Linked DNA regions of Danio rerio. The protein of the gene in region 1 interacts with the protein of each later gene in a pairwise test. Links are inferred from orthologs where the notes say so. Each region holds a gene or a part of one and is shown on either strand. Other genes may lie near its edges.

What was found.
Region 2: the proteins of poldip3 (region 1) and erh interact in a two-hybrid assay, tested with the Homo sapiens proteins (2 studies listed by BioGRID, with this or other methods). The link is inferred for Danio rerio from reciprocal best matches to the Homo sapiens genes POLDIP3 and ERH.

Annotation. Positions count from the first base shown.
Region 1 is NC_133178.1:310,100-314,370, reverse strand, and holds the start of poldip3 (polymerase delta-interacting protein 3), read left to right. Parts: upstream 1-1,471; 5' UTR 1,472-1,501; coding exon 1,502-1,569; exon of another isoform or gene 1,570-1,956; coding exon of another isoform or gene 1,957-1,985; intron 1,986-3,721; coding exon 3,722-4,271. UniProt on the Homo sapiens protein: Is involved in regulation of translation. Is preferentially associated with CBC-bound spliced mRNA-protein complexes during the pioneer round of mRNA translation. Contributes to enhanced translational efficiency of spliced over nonspliced mRNAs.
Region 2 is NC_133195.1:36,353,562-36,371,034, reverse strand, and holds erh (enhancer of rudimentary homolog), read left to right. Parts: upstream 1-6,524; 5' UTR 6,525-6,655; coding exon 6,656-6,658; intron 6,659-7,267; coding exon 7,268-7,355; intron 7,356-7,647; coding exon 7,648-7,768; intron 7,769-9,151; coding exon 9,152-9,254; 3' UTR 9,255-9,740; downstream 9,741-17,473. Other genes in the region: paplnb (papilin b, proteoglycan-like sulfated glycoprotein), read left to right, coding at 361-502, 3,609-3,684, 3,777-4,037; smek1 (serine/threonine-protein phosphatase 4 regulatory subunit 3), read left to right, coding at 16,773-16,914, 17,004-17,059. UniProt on the Homo sapiens protein: May have a role in the cell cycle.

The DNA.
Region 1 (4,271 bases):
CTCCTGTTGTTGTTTGTGTAAATGTGCAGCGGATTAAAATGGAGACTGCCATCTGGGTCTGCACTATAGTCATTTAATGACTTCTGTTGGTGGTGTTAAAGGAATAGCTCATCTCACAAGTAGTTCCAAACCTTTATGAGTTTCTTCTGTTGAGCACTGAAGAAGATATCTTGAAGAATGTTGGAAACCTGTAACCATTGACTTTCCATTGTAGGAAAAGCAAATGGAAGGCAGCGGGTACAGGATTCCAACATTCTTCAAAATATCTTCTTTAATGTTTAACAGAAGAAAGACTTAAAGAGGTCTGGGAAATGGAGGATATGGAGAGTGAATGATCACTGGATCTTCAGTTTCTATATCGGAGTTAAACTGTTCCCTTAAAAATAAACCCTGATGTTATGACGGTTATTAAACTGTACCGGTTTAAAAGGGTTAACTGTGATGTTTTGTAGTATTTGCATGGTATTATATTTGTGTTATTGTGTTTCTCCATCAGATTGGAGGTGAAATAAATACATAATTACACACACTGGCTGTATTACTTTAATTTTTAATGACTGTTTCTATGTAAAGTTATCAATAAATCTTCAAACTCTCCAAGACGGCTCATTCTAACGCTCATGATGGCAGTAGGAGTGTGACATATAGAGATACATCAAATATTCCTATTGCATTAATCCACATTAAGCTCTGTTCTTCATATATGAGTAAAGCTTGTCTGTGTACAATGTGTTTTAACCAACACTATACTGCATTTTGTCTTTATTTTCAAGCATTAAGCCATTATTACAGCAATAACCTGAACAAATAGTATTATTATTGCTAACGCGGTGTATAAGGGAGGAAATCGCCTATATATGCTCAATTAACTGCTTACAGAATTCGCTCTTGATAAAATAATTGGGTATATGTGGAAGTATGCGGGAGGACTTTTAATTTGCCAGTCACCTGGGTCAAGCGCTTCCGCTGAACTGATCAAACTCTGGGCGTTTAAGGTCTGTTTTCTTTAAAAAAATTTAAAAATCTCAGATTGTACAAGAAACACTGCATTACATTACATTTCCCCGCCATGTCTTTATAACACGAGCATTTATTTAACCTCAGTTTATTCAATGGAGCTTCAGCGCTAGCCTGCCGATCCTGACGGGTGCATGCGAGCAAACGGCTTTCTGTCTCGTTTTACGCTTGAGCAACTAAATGAATGCCAAAGTTTATTAAACTGATTATATTTTAATTACATTTAAAACATCAGTGCTGTAAAAGGAGCCGTATAAAATAAAAAAAAGTCACATTAACCGTTCACCGGAAGTTTATCAGTATGGGAGGAAGCACTAGCTCCGCATACCCTATTGTTAGGGCGGCGGATGAATCCTTTCGCGTTTTGTTTTCCCTTTGGTGTGTTTTGACCCTTTCCGCTGTCCGTCACACGTCACTTCGCCCCGCCCATATGAAAGTGAAACGCATGCGCGTTGATGTGCGCAGAGAACCAGCAGGCGCAGATATGGCGGACTTGTCTCTGGATGAAGTGATTCGTCGGCGCAGTTTTACCGCGAGAGGAGCCAGTAAGAGGTACAGCAGCCCGGGCGCTCCGCACAGCAGTTACTGATCACCTGTATTGATCAACACAAGCTCGTTTATTAATGATCGCAGGACGTGTGGAGTCTGTAGAGACTCTGCTTAGCGAGATATCCCGCCTTCACCCTCCGCTGATTGGCTGAAGTGTCGCGCTCGCGCGTCAGCTCGTGTTCTCATTGGCTGACGCGTGTCATTCATGGCGTCCTGCGCGTTGCTGTTTTTTTTTATATACAAACAAACCTCGAACATTACAGTTAATCCGCTCATCATAGTGTATTTGACCATCATAGTGTTACTATCCGCAAACCGAGAGTCTGCTCCACCGCCGCTAATGCTAACCGAGTCTCCCGGTGATTATCGGTGGATCGGCCGACCGACAACATGCGTCATCTGAGGGAGAATAACGACCGGTGAGCTGCAGTCGGTGTGTGTGGAGCAGTGAAGAGTGCTGAACACACCAGCCAGAGCTTACAGAGCTCAGCCTGACCGCGCTTACACCAGTGTGTTATTATTCAAACTGCCCATGAAGACATCACTCAGGCCTGACGGAATATACAGCTAATGTGTTGCAGGAGATGATTAGAGAAATGTTGTCTTTGTTATGGATGTTTAGTACACTTCTCATGCACACTATGAGGAGAGGGAGCCCCCTTAGTTTACTCCTGAGGGGTTAAATGCTGTCGATAAGCACAAGCGCTGTGATGCAGCATGTCCATCATCTGGGCTGTGTTCCACTACACTTTTAGACACACACTCGCGAACTTCCCTACCCTTGTTCCCTCATGGTTAATCACCAACACCTTTTTACAGTGTGTTGCACTTCATCAAGTGAAGGAGGGAAGCTTACATGGACATACCCTCTATTTTGACCGAGTCAGCTTCTAATGTCCCAGAATGCACTGCGATTGTGACGTTTACCAGTGTAGTTCCTAAGTGCTCAAGGGTTTAGGGCACTCCATTCAAACCAAGGGTCTCAAACTCAGCTCCTGGAGGGCCGCAGCTCTGCAGAGTTTAGCTCCAACACCTCCAGCTCTCAGCTGAATCGTCTCCAGTAGTCTCGAACACCTGATGAGCCGTGTTTGATCAGGGTTGGAGCAGAGCTGCGGCTCTCCAGGAGTCCAGTTTGAGACCTGTGGTTTACATCCAGTCAGATGCTCCACCAGTAGTGCACACTTGTGTTTAGGGATGCTCATAATAAGCAATTAACCGTTAACAGAACAGGTGGTTATCTGCTACTCAGTAGGTGCTGCATTTGTATTATAAACGTACGACTCGGCCGTTGGAAAAGTGCGTTCTATACAGTATGAATGTGAGAAGTATGAATGAAATTCGGACGTACTACATCCGCCATTTTGTCATGGTCACATGACCTACCTGGGTCAGTTGCGTCGTTTTACTCCCATTCATGAATTCTCTCGTGGGGCATTATGGGATAGCGCAGCATGCATGGAATGCGCACTTCAGAATCTCGCGGGAAGTAGTAAGTCATCCGGGTACTTCTCGCATACTGATTTTCGAATTCTATGAATTCAGACATACTACTCGGCTCGCATACTGATTTTAGCATACTGTATAGTATGGAAGTATGCGGTTTGTGACGCAGCCGGTGTGTTTGTAAGCGATTAATGGTGTCAGTTAAATGATTTACAGATATTATGTAATGTTTTTAGCGTTTGGCAGTATAAGGGGCCGATTTCAGCGATCGCACGTTTGCGTTGAGAGATGCATCTGTTGAATGGTTTACTAACGGCTGCGAGTGTTTGCGCTGCTTTTGCGCCTTGCGTTATTGTCGTTGCGTACGGAGCACTCGCAGTTGAAAAAAGTAAACTCTTGAGTGGTAAAAGCGTCATGTATTTTCCTATTCTCCAATCAAATGAAACCAGAGGCGGGGTTTTGTGTGTGTAAATGAGTGAGTGTGTATGGGTGTTTCCCTGTACTGGGCTGCAGCTGGATGGGCATCCGCTGTGTAAAACAGATGCTGGATAAGTTGGCGGTTCATTCCACTGTGGTGTCCCCTGATTAATAAAGGGACTAAGCTGAAAAGAAAACGAGTGACTGAGCCTAAACACACATCACTAAACACACAGTGTGTGTGTGAACGTTAGCCTCCAGGTAACGGTTTACTCCTGTTGTCGTCTGTCCACAGGCCTGTATATGGCAGAGGGGCGGGGCCACTGAACATGGCCTTTGATGCCCGGCAGAAGATTGGCAGTGGTGATGTCAGACAGAGGCTGGGAGTGGGTGGAGCCAGCGGGGGGAAACGCCTCCAGATTTCGGCTAGCGGAGCTGCAGTTCAGACTCTGTCGCGGCCGTCAGTGTTTCCGGTGAAGGACGCCAGGGAGAAGCTGGGCCAGAAAGACGCTCGGCTGCGGCTGCGGGGCCGAGGAGGTGGGACCAGTGCTGTGCAGAGCCGAGGGGGAGGGGCCAGTGCGATGCAGGACGCCCGGCTGATGATCAACCTGCGCAAACAGCAGCAGCAGCAGCCGTCCGCCAGCGGCCCCGCCCCAGCCTCCGCCCGGCCCAGCGGCCCCGGGGTCCCACACGTACACATACACAACACCAGCCCTCGCGCACACACACTCACCACCAGAGTGGGTGTGGCCTTACAGCCAGGGGGCGGGATCACAAAAGTTGTTGATGCACGTGATAGGTTGAGCTTGAAGAGGAGTGTCCCTACGACGTCCAATCAGAGCGCA
Region 2 (17,473 bases), on another chromosome or scaffold:
CCCTGCATTCGCGTGGGTTTCCTCCAGGTGTTCCGGTTTCCCCCGCAGTCCAAAAACATGCGGTACAGGTAAATTGGGTAGGCTAAATTGTCTGTGTATGGATGTTTCCCAGAGATGGGTTGCGGCTGGAGGGGCATCCGCTGCGTAAAACATTTGCTGGATAAGTTGGCGGTTCATTCCACTGTGGCGACCCCCGATTAATTTATGCACTAAGCTGAAAAGAAACTGAATGAATGAATGAATGTTTGTTCATGTTAGTAAATGCATTAACCAATATTAACCAATACAACATTATTGTAAAGTGTTAACTATTTATCATATGCATATATTTTGTTGCATTTGCTGATATTTGCACTGTAGTTTACAGACCAAGCGATCCTTATCCCACAGTGACTGGTCCTCATTGCGCTCAGTCTCATTACGGCTGCTGTCCTGATGGCCACACTACAGCCTCTGGGCCTCGTGGAGAAGGCTGTGCTCATGATGACTGCCAGAGATCCAGGTGCCAACATATACATACAAACACATAAAATTTAATACTGACACAAGTCAATTTGTAGATATATAGATAAATAGATTGGAATGCCATAAAATAAATCGTTGAATTACCCTCTATTCTCTTCCAAAAAAAGATGCTTGTATTATTCCAAAAGATTTTTTCCTTCTGTGGAACATAACAGAGCAATTAATTTACATAGTATGGACAAAAATGTTCCATTTGAATTTGTATTTACTTATTGTTTAGGTGAACCATTAATCTTTGCAAATGAATCCACTGAAAAAAAAAGTTTGTTTTTGTAATCTTCAATCAAACTCTGACCATTTGCTTCTGCGTGGTAATCCTTCTCTGTTCAGTCACAATAAATTTAACCATGCCACTCCTACCATTAGTTTGCTATGAGGGAATGATGCACAAAAAGAAAGCCCTGTTCCTTTTAAATATTGTGTTTCAGTTGGAAGTACGTCAACATTCATTTATTTATTTTCCTTCAGATTAGCCCCTTATTTATTAGGGGTCACCACAGCAAAATGAACCGCCAACCATTCCAGCATTTGTCTTACCCATCGGATGGCCTTCCAGCTGTAACCCAGTACAGGGAAAAACCCATACACTCTCACATTCACACATAAACTCATACACTATAGCCAATTTAGTTAATCGAATTAACTTTTCGGTCATGTCTTTGGACTGTGGGGGAGACCGGAACATCGGGAGGAAACCCACTCGAACACATGGAGAACATGCAGAACTAACCAATAATCCACTGTGCTGCTGCATACATCAAAATACTAAAATAAAAGTCTTAGCAACTTCTAGTTTACACTGACTTGGGAACAAAAAGTGTTTGTTGTTAAATGTTGATAAACAAACTATTTTCTTTTTTGAATGGAAGTCAACGACAATCAAAAATAATTGGTTATTAACATTCTTGACTAAACAGATTTGGTTATCATTGACTACCATTTTATGGACCAAAAATTTAAATAAATAAATAAATGTTTATATTTTTTTAACTGTAAACCACAACTGATTGCTTAACATAATTCTTAGCTGAGATCTGTTATATGGAACAAAATCATTGAAACATAAATAATATTCAGTTCAGTCGAATTCATGTTTATTTCTATAGCGCTAATACAATGTAGATTTCCTCAAAGCAGCTTAACATAGAGGTTTAGTAAATTGAAACCCTGTCAGTCCAGTTTTCAGAGTTAAAATACAGTTCAGTTAAGTTCAGTGTGGTTAAATTTCACTGCTGGACGTCCAAACAACTGAAGAGCAAGTCCATTGATGTGCAGCTCCACAAGTCCCAAACCAATCAAGCCAATGGCGAGGAACAAACTCCACCAATTGACAAAAGTGAAGGAAAAAAACCTCGAGAAAAAAAACAGGCTCAGTTGGGCACAACCATTTCTCCTCTGACCAAACTTCTTGTGCAGAGCTGCAGTCTAGGTGTTGGAGGCTGTAGAACAATGTATATTGTGAAAAAGCTGCAGGTATAAATAGGTCACTGGTGGGTGTTCAGGCTGGCCCACGCGATCAATGCAAAGACTCGTCTGTCACTGTGGTCTTTCAGGAATCAGTCTCATGCTCTCCATTCCTCCATGACCACCACAGCATCTGCTCAGGATACGGCCTGGTCCAGGATTATGGATACCTTGGCATCATTTCTTCACAGGTCTTGGATCGCATTAATGGCGCTGCATAATCTCTAGAGACCTTGGGGTCATTATCCCCAGGTGGAAATTGAGAATAAATAAAATAATTAGCGTAGCTGCTGTTCATGCCTAAAATTAAGTGCTATAAATAAAAATAGCAGTTATATAAACAAACATGTAAGGCACATGAGTGTTTCTAACAAAATGTCAGTTGCATTTAGATAAGCAGAGTGTGTTCTAAGGGTAGTTTGTCAAGCACACTCACCTGCGTGGAGCACGCTCATACATCATACCGTTGTGTGATGCACTGTGTGTATGCTTTACTAAAAAGATAGTTATTTAATCTATTTATGAACTGAGAGAGTGTGTCTGAGCCTCAGACATTATCATTAAAATAGAATCAGAGGAAACAAAATATGTTCAATAATTCTGACCAAACAATTTGGTTTAAGACAAACAGTGGTGTAAAGTAACAAATTGCAAATACTCAGATTACTGAAATGAAGTAGTTTTTCTAATGAATTTTCATTTACTAAGTTACTTTACTTTCCCTTAAGTAAATGTTTAGTGCAGCATTGGTACTTTTACTCTACTACTTTCCCTCAATCTGCAGTCACTACTTTTAATTATTTCCTGTCAGTGGATTAGAAAAATCAGTCCTGCACTGCGATTCCTGTCTAATCATATCACACATAGAAAGTAAATCGCATCATACTGATCTACCTTAAGTCTTCCAGCAAACTGGAAGCAGTAAGTGTCCAAGAAGACATACAATGACCCAGAGACTGTTTAGACTGAATGTCAATGAGAAAAAGACAGATGTTTCCTGTATGATAACCGAAATGGCCTTAAACTTCAACTAAATGCACTACAGAATGTTACGTTTACACACACACACACACACACACACACACACACACACACACACACACACACACACACACACACACACACACACACACACACACACACACACACACACACACACACACATTCACAAATTACATGTAAGTGCTTCAAACTTTCCCAGCGTTATACTCACTACTTACTACTCTTGAGTACTTTCGAAAGGGCTACTGTTTACTCATACTTTAATACTTAAAACAGGTACTTTAACTCTACTTGCATTACATTTTTGGGTAAGTAGTTGTACTTTTACTTTAGAATGATTATTCAGAACGGTTTCCATCACTAAAGAAAAGGTTTAAGCAAAAAACGGAAACCAAAACTGAAAAATATCCTTTAAAATAGTTTGCATTATGTTCCACAGAAGAAAGAAAGTCATACAGTTATAGGGAGTATATAGATGACATATGGGTGACTAAGTGATATAATTAAATAAAACAGTAGTGAACAGCAATGAACTGGATTTTTATTAAGGCCAGATTTGGATATATTCAGGATCAAACCAGTGAACTGAACGTGTGTGTGTGTGTGTGTGATGAAAGATACGGCTGCTGTCTGGATGGAATAACAGCTGCTCTGGGTTACAGAAGAGCGGGATGTCCTGACTCCTCCTATGGGGTAAAACAGCTCATTTAATTTTCCCTGTCAGTTTTCCTCTCATCATATAATTTCATCTAATTATATAAACACGTCTTTGCTTTTGTTTTCAGGATCACAGTCCCTCTGCTAGTGTGTGCTCCTTGGCACGAGATGTCGGGCCCTGTTATGAATATAAATCTCGCTTCTACTTTGATCATTCCTCTGGCTCTTGCTCCCAGTTCTGGTTTGGTGGATGCCAAGGAAATGGCAATAACTTTGTCTCCAAGGTGGCGTGCGAGCGGACGTGTAAGGCTTCTGTCAGAGGAAGAGAACCAACGTCCAGGAGAGTGATCTACGATGTCAGAGGTTATAGAGTGAGATCCCGTGCATAATAAATGTCCAGACAAATCCAACTCATAAACATGTAGATAAAACTTCAATTGTGCTGATTTGAAAGCAGTCTTGGGTTTATACTGACATCTACTGGCATTGATTTGTTTAAACTAAGCTTTTTTAAGGGATGAGAGAGAAACACTTTATCAAACATGACTGCATCAAAGCTAAAGATAATTTCCTTTCTTTTTATGTTTCGGTGTAAGTACTTTGGTTGTATACTCTTCCTAAGCCATTAAAGTGTTAACACAAACCAACTGCACTGAAGAATTAACTTGAATATATCTAATCTTGCATGTAGATGAATGGATGGATGGATGGATGGATGGGTGGGTGTAGATAGATAGATAGATAGATAGATAGATAGATAGATAGATAGATAGATAGATAGATAGATAGATAGATAGATAGATAGATAGATAGATAGATAGATAGATAGATAGATAGATAGATAGATTATATATTATTATTATATTTGTTATTATTACATTTAATAAAATTATTAAATAGTTTCAAATATTTATATTTATTCAAATATTAAGTGACGTTTAATGAAGAGGCGATCATCTTCCAACATGCTTTAAAACTTTTGTCTTTGTATGTGCTGACAGAATCTTTTAGTTATTTTGAAAGATGCTTTTATACTTTGCAAAGGTGCAGTATGTAAATTTATTGAGCTGTATTACATTCCTGGATCAAAACAAACGCATGCGCAGGTTATTAGAGTGACGACCAATACAGGCGAGTCTGACTGTCTAGCCTAAAGGCTGATTTAAACTGCGTTCTATACAAAAGCTACGTAATAGAAGGATAGAAGGAATATTATTCATTTATTTTGTCCTAACAAACTCCTTCAATTGATAAATTAGAAACAGTTTCTATATCTTGCAGCTGAACAACAGAAAACTTTGACAATGGTCACCTCATGTGCTTTATTCAGTGTTAAATGTTAACAATGTGAGTTTGGATGGCATTTTACATGACATCTATTGCCATATACTGAAAGCAGCAGCAGATAGTTCACCTCAGATATTGAAAATAAAATAAACTGATTGAACTTTAGAATTGTGACTCAGTGCAAGACAACACAAATGAGTGATTCAGCATCTACATTTAATAATGTCAAAGAGGTTTAATATGTATTAAATAGATTTTTTAAAACTTACCTTTTCATGAGTGAGTACATATTCTGTGCCTCTAAATGTCTTTATTTAAATTTCTTTCATGTTTCTTCTGGTGCAAACAGCTAAATTGCTAATAACTACTAATCTTGTCATGTAGCATGTTGTTAGGGCATGCGGTTACAATGTAACCTGCTCACCTAATGTTTACACTCGTAATATTTATATTATTTGCAAATTAATAACCTCATGTGGAACTGAATCTGCGTCTCATTCCAGAGTCTGCTACTTTCTCACGGAGGTAGCGTTGTGGTCATGGAACCATGCTTTGAGAGCCTTTCTGAATGAATGAATGAGTTACTGAATGAATGAATGAATGAATGAATGAATGAATGAATGAATGAATGAATTGCTCCGTTTTTCACCAAGGCAACCCGGGGTGCTAAAATATAATCTAAAGTTGCAATAGGTGGGTTAAAATAACCAAAACAGAGACAGACGTTCCGGCACATAACTTACATTTACAAAGCAGAATATCTGACTTTAACATTGTTTTTCAGATAAACAAGAATGTTCATGTGGCATGTTTACTAAACATCTGCAAACATATTATAGTATTTTTATGCTTTAGAAGAGTCAAAACATACAGTACTTTTAAACTACGATTTAAAGGCTTATCAAAAGTTATTTATTAGTTTTACATTCGACAAGTTATCAAGACAAGCAATCAATCAAAAACAAAATGCTAATAATTCACATCTATATCACAAGTAAGCTAATAATACTGACCCTAAAATTATTATTATTTTTTTATTATTAAATTAAAAATATATATAAATTAGGTACAAATGTGTGACAATAAGAATTTATAATTTTGTAAACCATTGTTACAGATATAACATTTTGATGATAAAAACTATACTATGTATTTGTGATGTAGGTTAAAATTACAGGATAAATAAAATAAAATCATTAAATTATAAAAATTTAAATATAGAAATATTTGTAAATAATATTGTAAAGCCTATTTCTAATATTTAATTTTTATTTATGTGTGTGTGTGTGTGTGTGTGTGTGTGTGTGTGTGTGTGTGTGTGTGTGTGTGTGTGTGTGTGTGTGTGTGTGTGTGTACGTGTGTGTGTACAAAATTTAAACAAATATTTGTAAACAGTATTGCAAAGTCTTATATACATCGTTTATCCATAAATAATAGTAAATAGGCTGACTTCTTTTTCACTTGCAGTCATTTGAATATTACATCAAAATAATGAATACAAAATATGAAGTAAAAATTATAAGTAATGTCATTAACGACAAAAATAAATACCATTTCCGTAACAGTGAAAAAGCTTTTATCTTGAAAAGCCAACGCTTCGCCTACACCGGAAGTGTGATCGTTTCTTGAACATTCCTGCTGTTTCCTTCGCTGCTAACAGTGAATAGCCGTCAGTGGTTACCCCAGCGTTCAACGCCACTTTTATACATCAGGACCAGATATGGTAAGTATTTTGTCGATGTTTTTTCTACTCGTATATATCCTTAGACAGCCACCATATCAGAAAAATCGCGTTTCACCGACTGCTCCAACACATTCAACAAAAATAAAAGTGAACGAACGCGCGCGGCTAGCAGTGTGTTACGAGAGAACGTCGAATAATCCTCAACACAGCGAGCTTTCATGTGTCTCGAAATACCACACATGCAAAGTTAGGTTCTTTGTTGAAAGTTCGACCGGAACAAACTCCTGTTCAGCTTCAGTATTGGTAATATCAGTGTTTGTGAGGAACATGTAGTGTTTTAGTTTGGGGGAGGGTTCGAGTACAACAGCTGCTGTTTTCTGGGTATTGTGTCAAAGCATCCATATCAGCTAACGTTATATTCCCAAAGTGTATTTAGTTCATACGTCAAACATGAATAACTAAACAACACGTCATGTTTTTGAAATGAACGCACGATTAATCTCACTGTCAGGAGCCAAAGCTGTGTTCCTGTCAGTAGGGGGCTCCACGCAATTGTTTAATTCGTCGTCTAGATATGTAGTGTTTCTAACTTTTACTTGATTTATGATATAAACACAATAAAATGTTTTTTTCTTTATTATCGTTCAGTCTCACACAATTCTGCTGGTGCAGCCCACCAAGAGACCAGAAGGCAGAACATATGCAGATTATGAGTCTGTCAACGAATGTATGGAAGGTAGGATAATTCTTTTCTTTGTGTGTGTTATAAACAATTATAATGCTTTAAAGGGATAGTTCACCCAAAAATTGAACTATTGACCATAGTAGAAAAAACAAAAACTATGGAAGTCAGTGGCTTTAGGATTTCACCTCTCTTTAAAATGTCTTCAGAAAGTAAGAAACTCAAACTGGTTTTGTAACTGTGAAGAGAAAACAAATTTTTTTTGGGGTGAACTATCTTTATTGTACACTGAATATTGCACTACTACTTTTAATGCGTGTTTAACCATTTTCCTTCTTACCAAAAGGAGTGTGTAAGATGTATGAAGAGCATCTGAAGAGAATGAATCCCAACAGTCCCTCCATCACATATGACATAAGCCAGTTATTCGACTTTGTTGATGATCTTGCCGATCTCAGCTGTCTTGTGTAAGTAATCACACTTTTCACTTGACAAAGCCTAATGTCTAAGGTCCCGATTACACTAAAAAGTTTTAGTTTTAAAACGCATAAGTTTTGCTACAGTGACGTCTTCCGTTCAGATTACCCCAGAGTTTTAGATCATTGAAAGCGGAGTGTTTTGGAAATGCTGAAGAGGTCGCTTTTGTGTTAACCCTTTAACTGTCTGCTCTATCAAATGGTTGACCATATTTTGATTGTTTTAAATTAAGGTTTACACAAACAGCATTGTTGCTTTACAAAAAATCTAACAAACATAATCCTCTTGCACTACTACACTTAGTTTTGATTTTATTGTAAAAAGCAAAAAAAAGAAATCTTGAATTATTTAATAATAAGAAATATTGTATGGCATACTTAAAAAAATAAAGATGATTCAGTATTTAAAATGTTTTATTTAAATTGTTTTAAAATGAGTCATATTGTTATAAATTAGTCTTACACTTCATGTTTTTAGAATTTTTATAGTATGTGTATTGATTCTTAGTACTTTTACCATAAACCAACATATTATCCACTTGGTAGCGGTTGATATTTTTAAAATTATGGGATGTGATGGGGAAAAAATGCATCGAGTGTGTTAACTTTAGAATTTAAGAAATGCAATCCCAAGAAAAAGTTCTTGGTGGGGAAGTTAAAGTGTTAAAATACTGCTGAAAAATAGAGGCTCAAAACGGATCGGATTCAGGCCTTTTCCCAATATTAAATGCAATATTAAGTTCAGTCTTGCATCCTTTCCTTGAAAGTTCAGACTTTGCAAGTTTTATATGGAAAACTACCTCCTGAGGACACGTCGGGTAAATTTTCAATGGGAACAGTGTACTTTATAACAATCACAGCGTTCATATAGTCATTCATGTCACTCTGACTACGCTGCTTCACTATCTTAAAAAATCAATGAAAACATGATATAAGGATTTAAATAGACACCAAAAATGTTCAGGCATCGTATAGCTACATACTTGTATTACTGTCATCTTCACAGTATGCATATTTATAAGAAAACGGAGCCTGTAGACCCATAGGTTTCCAACCTTTTTTGCCTGAGACCCCCTTTTCTGCTGGAAAATATAGTGAGGCCATCCTCAACATTTAATGATATTATCGCTCATATAAGTTTGCAGTAAGGATGACAAAAAATGTTGCTTTCAAAAAGACTGTATGACTGTATCTCAAAAAGACTGTACTATTATCTCTCCTCCTTGGCGAAATTCTAGGCAAATGGCCAGTGTGGATGTGGATAGTTTTTGTTGTTAATTGCCGTTTTAAAACTAAAACATATCGGTGTAAACAGGGCCTATTAAATGCTCATGCTCGTCAATCATGTACAATTGTCTTTAATTATTTGAACAGGTACAGAGCGGACACACAAACCTACCAGCCTTACAACAAAGACTGGATCAAAGAAAAGATCTATGTGCTGTTGAGGCGTCAGGCCCAACAGGCTGGAAAATAAAGACGGTGGAATTATTGAACTAGTCCCCAACTACGCTTCATCACAGGACAGACGTGGCTGAACTGAACAGTGAATTGATGCCAACTGGTTCAGATTTTGTTGAATGCATGTCCTTTGAGTTATGTCAAAAGCATAGAGTGAAAATATTTTGCATTTTAAATCACATTTTTGTAACTTCGGAGTTCGGGACTTGGGTTATTTATCGGGCTAGAGGGTAATATTGGGGAAAGAAAAGTTTTAGGATTTTTTTCGTTGTTGTTGCTCCCGATCCCTCCCAATTAATGATGTTTTATATTGTGGATTTATTTTTGATTTAGTAAAGTATAACATTTACACATTTCAGATGTTGTTGAGATGGTTCCGAGTTATTCTTATATCCCAACTTTTGTCCTCTGTGTTGTTAAAGGTTTTGTTGGCCCTCTCTGATTTGTGCATCCAGTAGTAAAAACTGGCAAACAATAAAATTCTTCTCAAAAAACGTGGAAATGTCAGTGCTTTTTTCTTTTTTTCTTAGCCTAAAGAGCCCATATTATGGGTTTTTGAAAATTCCCCTCCATGTAGTGTGTAACACAGCTCTAAGTGAAGTGGAGTATCCAGCTAAGGCTTAAATCTGTTAGTGTACAGTGTTAAAAACGGTTGATTCATCTAAAAAAGAGTCGACTCATAGTGCTTCAAACGAGTCGCCTTGATACGGATTCATTAGGTGTTTCGCCATGACGTACGAACGAAACCAAGTTATTCACGTGCACGCGCAAACCCGGGAGATTTCAAACCTGAGGCCCCGCCCTCTGACGCAGAAACCGAGACACACACACACACACACACACACACCCACAAACACACACACACACAAACATGCCGGTCGATTGAAGTCACACTGCAGATGGATATATTGAGTCTCTACCCAAAGATGAAACCTCAGCATTATAGCCAAGCAGTTGGAAACTACTGGAAACTTCTGGAAGCTACATGCTACAAAGAATACTTCATCAGCGTTTGTTAAAGGAAGGATCAGTAACTTACTGATAGACGTCAGGATGGGTTTCTTCCTCCATTTCTCAAGTGTAAGTACGTGCGATTAAAGTTGCCTCGTTGACTCTAGCTTGCAAATGTATTTAGTTGTGATTTGTTACTTGTAACCGCGTGTACTGTATGAGGTTAACTGGCTATATTCTCTTATAGTGTGCAAAGTCACGTTAAAAACGCGACGCGTGCTGCGTTAACGGAGCTCCGTGGACGGGGAGTAACGTTAGTGTGTGTGTCTGTGTGTGCGTGCGCGCGCTGTCGTCCGGAGGTGTGTGTGTTTGTGTGTGTGTTTGTGTGTGTGCGTGTGTGTGTGTGTGCGCGCGCGTTGTCGTCCGGAGCAGGGTTAAGTGTGAGTGTGTGTGTGTGTGTGTGTGTGTGTGTGTGTGTGTGTGTGTGTGTGTGTGTGTGTGTCTGTGAAAAGAGCAGAGTGAGAAGCTAGGAGATCTCCTCAACTGTTTTTGGAGTTTTTGTTCAATAAAATAGTCAGTCGTCTGTATTTTCAAGTCCATAGTCTGTATTTACATTGACCCACTGGCAGCTAAAATCAACGCCTACACTATCTAGCGTGTATGAACTGTGATTACTTTTATATTGCTGATTAGCTGTTTGGCATTTCATTCTCTGACTGAAGGCAGTCGACCAATCGCAACAGACTGTCATCGGTCCAATCAGCGCAGATTAGCTTCGCGCTAAGGAGGGGTTTGGGAACAAATGAATCCCTGAACGATTCATACAGGAGTCGCTGGGATAATTAGGTAAAAATAAATGCAGATTATAAGACCATGAAAGTGTTTTTTGACCTTGCATGCATATTAAACTGTTGTTGGAGACCCTTACAACCAAGATATGACCCTATTTCATGTATAATATGGGCTCTTTAAGAATCATAAGGTTAGAGACAGAAATAATTTTCAGCAGTGGCACATAGAATTGGTGTAGTTTTTATAATGTTTAAAAAGATTATTATTATTTTTTTAAATGCTGTTCTTTTTAACTTAACCAAAAATATATATGTAGAGTTCTGAAGGTTCATGTGACACTGAAGACACTTCAAACATCTGCAACAGCGTTATACACCGTCTACCAGTGTTTCTCAACCACATTTCTGGAGGACCACCAGCTCTGTACATTTTACATGCCTCCTTAACCAAACACACCAGATTCAGATCATCAGCCCATTAGAAGAGACTGACAGAAATGTAGTGTGTGACAGAAAGTATGCATTCAAAACATGCAGTGTTGGTGGTCTTCTGGGAACGTTGTTGAGAAACACTGCTGTATACAACTGCCTTTGAATCAAATTCTTGTCTGTATCCTACATTTACCTTAATTATTTCTTTAACAACAAATGGCATTAAGGATTTCAGAGCTCATGGTCATTTGCATGTTTTAATAGGAAGTGTATGTGACATATAATGTATTTTGCATTTTTATATGTGCCAGTTGAAATGTTGTCAGTGTCTTTTCTCTTTAGTCATTTGAAAATGTAAATACATCAGTTATATATTTTTTTAAACAACCATGCCAAATTATGATAATAAACATATTTAAATTCTAAATACATACAGTTGATGTCATAATAATTAGCGTCCCTTTAATTTTTATCTTTTTTATATATTTCACAAATTGTTTAACAGAGCAAGGAAATTTGTACAGTATGTCTGATAATATTTTTTCTGATGAAAGTCTTATTTGATTTGTATTTTGGCTAGAGTAATTTTTTTTTTTCTACTAGCCCCTTTAAGCTATATTTTTCGATAGTCTACAGAACTTGCCTAAATACCCTAACCTGCCTAGTTAAAGTTAAGCCTTTAAATGTCACTTTAAGCTGTATAGAAGTGTCTTGAAAAACATCTAGTCAAATATCATGTACTGTCATCATGGCAAAGATAAAATAAATCAGTGATTAGAAATGTGTTGGAAAAAAATCTCTCCGTTAAACAGAAATAATAAACAGGGGGCTAATAATTCTGACTTCAACTGTATATGCAAATGTTCACCCACAATTGTACAGCTACTCCATCATAAACCTCGATGAATAATTAATACATGCACATATTCACAAGAATCCATTCAAGCATCTGCATATATACATAGAAAGAAAGGATAAAGAAAATATGAACACCAATACATACCCAATTATGAAAATGTGTATTTTGCATGCATTGCTATGCTTCATGAAATCTTCACACCATTCACTTGTCATCGGTCAGTCTCCAGATCAGTTCATATCTTAATGTAGATCTCCTTTATTATGCAATGTTTGTTTATAAGAAGCTGATGTGTTCTAATTGGGAGATAAATGTAGAATTATACATCACATCAGGACCATCCTGTTTATCAACTGCCAGAAGCACAATGTACTGTACTCTAGCATGAAAGTCTTGCTTTTCAGCTACAGGGCTAATTGTTTAAATAAGAACTTGCTATTCTCAGAAATACTCATACAAAAAGTTTTTTGATGTCTGTGAAACCTATAGTGTTGTGGAAAAGACACTCGCTTTATTTTAATTTAAGAAACATTTGCCCTGTTTAAGGAATAGCTCATCACAAATGATAGTTCTGCCATAATTTACCCGTACTCCAGAGTTTCACAAATGAATGTGTCCTGAAGAACACTGGAAAGCAGTTGAGACTTCTTCTGAGTCTGTTGCTCACTTATTTTGAGAATGTCCATTTGTTAAATCTTTCTGGTCTGTTGTGAATAATCCACATCAAAAGGTTTATGGTTGTTTTTCTTTAAGCTATGGACATTATTTTGGGATTTTACATTAAAGAAAAACAATTCCTTAAAGTTTTTGTGTAAACCTAATCATTATTATTATTTGGCAAGTTTTTTTTATACTTACATGTGCTAAAAGTAAACCAATTTTTGTATTTTTAAAAACAGAATAAATACTATTTCAGATCCTCATAACAAGAAAGCTTCTAAAATGTGCTTTATTTAATATTATACATTTATTTTTGTTGTGTTTTTTTCATGTGCCCTCTCCTTTTTATTAATTTATTATTTTATTTTTTCTTTCTCTTTGACATACCATTGTAATACTTTATAATTGGTCATTCTCTGTTTGTGTTAAAAGTAATATTTGCATTGTATGTATTGTTCATTTCATTGTAATTTCCGGTTATTGCAATAAAAAAAAAAAAAACGTTTGGAAGCAACAACCATTGACTTTCATAGTATATTTTTAATATGGATATCAATGTCTGCTGGTTTCCAACTTTCCATATAACATCTTGTTTTGTGTTAAAATGAAGAAATTAAAGGACCATGTGAGTAAATTTTCATTTTGTCTAAAATACTGTATTAAGCATTGTTGTTTAATTGGCAAACAACTAGTTGCAGTAGCTTTTAGACTGGCATGCTTTATTCTGTTGTTTTTGCTACATGATCCGTGAGCTTGCATTGTTCTTGGAAAGTACCTAAGTTACGTTTAACGAACTGCAAGCAGTCTTATGGCAGCTGTAACTAAGGATTGGACTGAACCACTTTAATCATTGGACACAATAATTCTTGTTGTAAATAAATGTAAGAATAAAATGCAATTCTTATTTTGTAACATTTATGATTTACCCCAATCTAGCATAAATGTTACATTTAGTAGACTTCTTAATTCTACTTTTTATATTGGGGAAATGTCACAAAACTCTTTTTTTCCCTTCTTTTTCTTGGAAGTTGATTCAGTTTTTACTGAGATATTTTGAGAAAACTACTTTTATGAAGTGACTTGTCTGTTTGAATCTTCAACAAGACTCCTGGACCCCAATACTTAGAAAAAATAAATCAAGGTCAACTGGGTGAAAGCAATTAATATCGAAATGTACAAATTAAATAGTATGTTAGCTAACAATTCAAATATGGTTGAATATCTAGAATTGGTTCTGTCCTTCAGCTGTTGACTAAATGATTGCAATTATAAATGTGAGTTACAGTTGATTGTAATAAACAATTGTGAATGCAAACACAGTTTTCTTTGCATTTTTGACATCAAAACCATCTTGTTGATGAAGACTAATGTGTTAAACATGCCAGGTGATCATGCCAGGCCGGTAGATGGTGGTTTCACTTTAAGCTCAAGTTGATTTAAGTACTTGCTTATGCATATCCGAGTTTAAATGAAAATATAAATATATACAGTTGATGACAGAATTATTAGCCCCCCTGAATTATTAGACCGCTTGTTTATTTTTTTCCTAATTTCTGTTTAGCAGAGAGCAGATTTTTTCAACACTTTTCTAAACATGATAGTTTTAATAACTGATTTATTTTATCTTTGTCATAATGACAGTAATTAATATTTTACTAGGTCTTTTTCAAGACACTTCTATACTGCTTAAAGTGACATTTAAAGGCTTAACTAGGTTAATTAGGTTAACTACAGGTTAGGGTAATTAGGCAAGTTATTGTACAATGATGGTTTGTTCGGTAGATTATCGAGAAAAAATATAGCTTAAAGGTGCTAAAAATTTTGTCCCTAAAATGGTGTTAAAAAAATTAAAAACTGCATTTATTCTAGCCAAAATAAAACAAATAAGACTTTCTTCAGAAGAAAAAATATTATCAGAGATACTGTGAAAATTTCCTTGCTCTGATAAACATCATTTAGGAAATATTTAAAAAAGAAGAAACATTTTTTGAAGGGGGCTAATAATTCTGACTTCAACTATATATATATATATTTGACTGTTTTAAGATGTACCTGTTCAGGGACTGCATGTGGAAAATAGCAACTTTGCTAAATCTTTCCTTTTCAAGTTTCCTTTTTGATGTTCCTCTCAAATAAATAAATCTAAATTCAAATTTCATAGACCAAACATGTAAAAAACAAACAAAGTTTTCACTAAATCTTTTGTAATTTTGCACAGAGAGAATTACAGTATCATTTTTAAAAATACTGACAGAAAAAAATATTTAAAAAGCTGTGATTTGCATGACAGCCCAGTTGTTGGGGTTGCATCTTTCTAAAGAACACTATATTTATCTATTGGAAAGTAAATAGAGTCAAAATGCATATATATATATATATATATATATATATATATATATATATATATATATATATATATATATATATATATATATATATATATCATGCACCACCTGGCAACATATCAAAATACACTGTCGAATCAGTACTTAAATTGTGATGATGTGTTTTGCACAGATAATCAACACCTCATTTACATTTATATAATCCACGAGCTGGTGGTGCAACTGGTCAAGACTTTGAGGTTTGAGATTTAGCTGGTACAGTGGCCTTTTTGCCCAGGATAAGGATGATATGGTGCAGCAGAGTTTGCTTTTCCAACGTATAACGATGACTTATGTTCAAGAAACTATAGTATGTATTTGTGTATGATCTCAGTGACAAGGTAATGAAACAACCCTAAACATCTGCATTTGATTTTACTGTACACAGTAGCAAGGTTAATCTTTCAGCGCGCTCCAGCAGGCGCGCGTCCGCGTGTATTTTCAGCCTCATTCACATTCCTTTCCAGTCTCCACAGCCCTCTCGTTTCAGCAGCAGCAGTGCGAGTTTGGTGGTGTTACGAAACCACTGTTTGTCTGCGCTGGACATTTTGGCGCACTGTGTCTTTAAACTGTGGCGGCGGCCCTGCGTCTGCAACCAGGAAACCCCGTAGCGGCTTTCTGAGGGGACCCAAGATGGCCGAATCTTCACAGTGGGGCTAATAATTACTTTTCGTCAAGACGCTGCTATTTCATGGTGCTCGACGCTCGCGCTGGCCATTCGTCGTTCCGGAAAGCAAAACAAGTGACTCTGTTCAAGTAGTTGCATCGGGGAATGTTTATTTATGCGTGAAGAGACTGGCTGGTCCAACCGCGGCCCTTAGCCAGAATATGGCGGAATACCTGGAGAAAATATAGCTTAGCTTATTATGAACGCGCCGCTTTATACACGACTCTTCCCGCCTTTTCACCGACCTCGCGTGAGTATAATGATTAAATAGCGTTATCGGTACGTCTCTGAAATTCATTCGCGTGTGTTTTGCGCAATTCTGTGTTAAAATGACTCTCGAGAGGAGATAGCCTGCTAGCTGAGGCGCTAGCTACGCTAACCCCGTTTGACTGAATTAGTCGCAGCGTTAGCTTAGCCTAGCTAGCTTAAAGTAAGGGGGCACGAAGAAGAGCAAACACTTTCTTCATCCGCGCTCTGGCTGCATGCTTTTAAACTCATCTCACTCTTATTTTTCGTGCTTCTGTTTATAGAGAGTTTAAAATACCGGGTATGTTGTGGGGAGTCTCGGCTGCACACAGCAGCTAGCTGACCATCACTGGACTGGTCAGAATAATTGTGTGGACAGCGCAAGTTTACTGCGAGAGACTCCACAACAACACACTGCTTCAGCTCCTCGCCCGCGAACGCCGTACATTTCAGTTTGAAGTTGACATCAGATTCTGTTGCATCTCGAGGACTTTGAGATTTATTGAATCAAGGGCAAAAGCCTATCCGAGAGTTACTTGCAAGGATGACTGACACTCGTAGACGAGTAAAAGTGTACACTCTGAATGAGGACCGCCAGTGGGACGATCGGGGAACGGGACATGTGTCATCCGCCTACGTGGAGAGGCTCAAAGGCATGTCTCTCCTGGTGCGCGCCGAAAGCGATGGTAGGTTTCAAAACACTGGAAGATGATGAACAGGTTTGCTTTTCATTGACTGATCAAGCACGTTAACATGAGGCCGTTCTTTATGACAGGGTCACTGCTGCTGGAGTCCAAAATCAATCCTAACACCGCCTATCAAAAACAGCAGGTGCGTTGCACTCTTTTGTGAACTCACAATGCATAGTTAGCCTGAGTGCTTCTAAATGTTTTGGTGCAACACATATTTCATAAAGACAAGACACAACAGGTGAATATGGTAAGAATTTAAACTAATAAATTAGTTTGCATGACTGCATTCCTTTTTATATCGTATTCGAAACAAACTTATATATTTTAATCTACATCAGTGATGATTAAATCAGCACTGCATACTACTTTGTGTGTGTGTATATATATATATATATATATATATATATATATATATATATATATATATATATAACATTTACATTTTTAGCTGCTTAGTGTAAATCTAAAGTTACTTTTGTCTTGCATTAAAATCATTATTAAGGTTTCTCTTGTTTAAATTGTGGCTAAGAAAAGATTATATTTCACAGCAAAA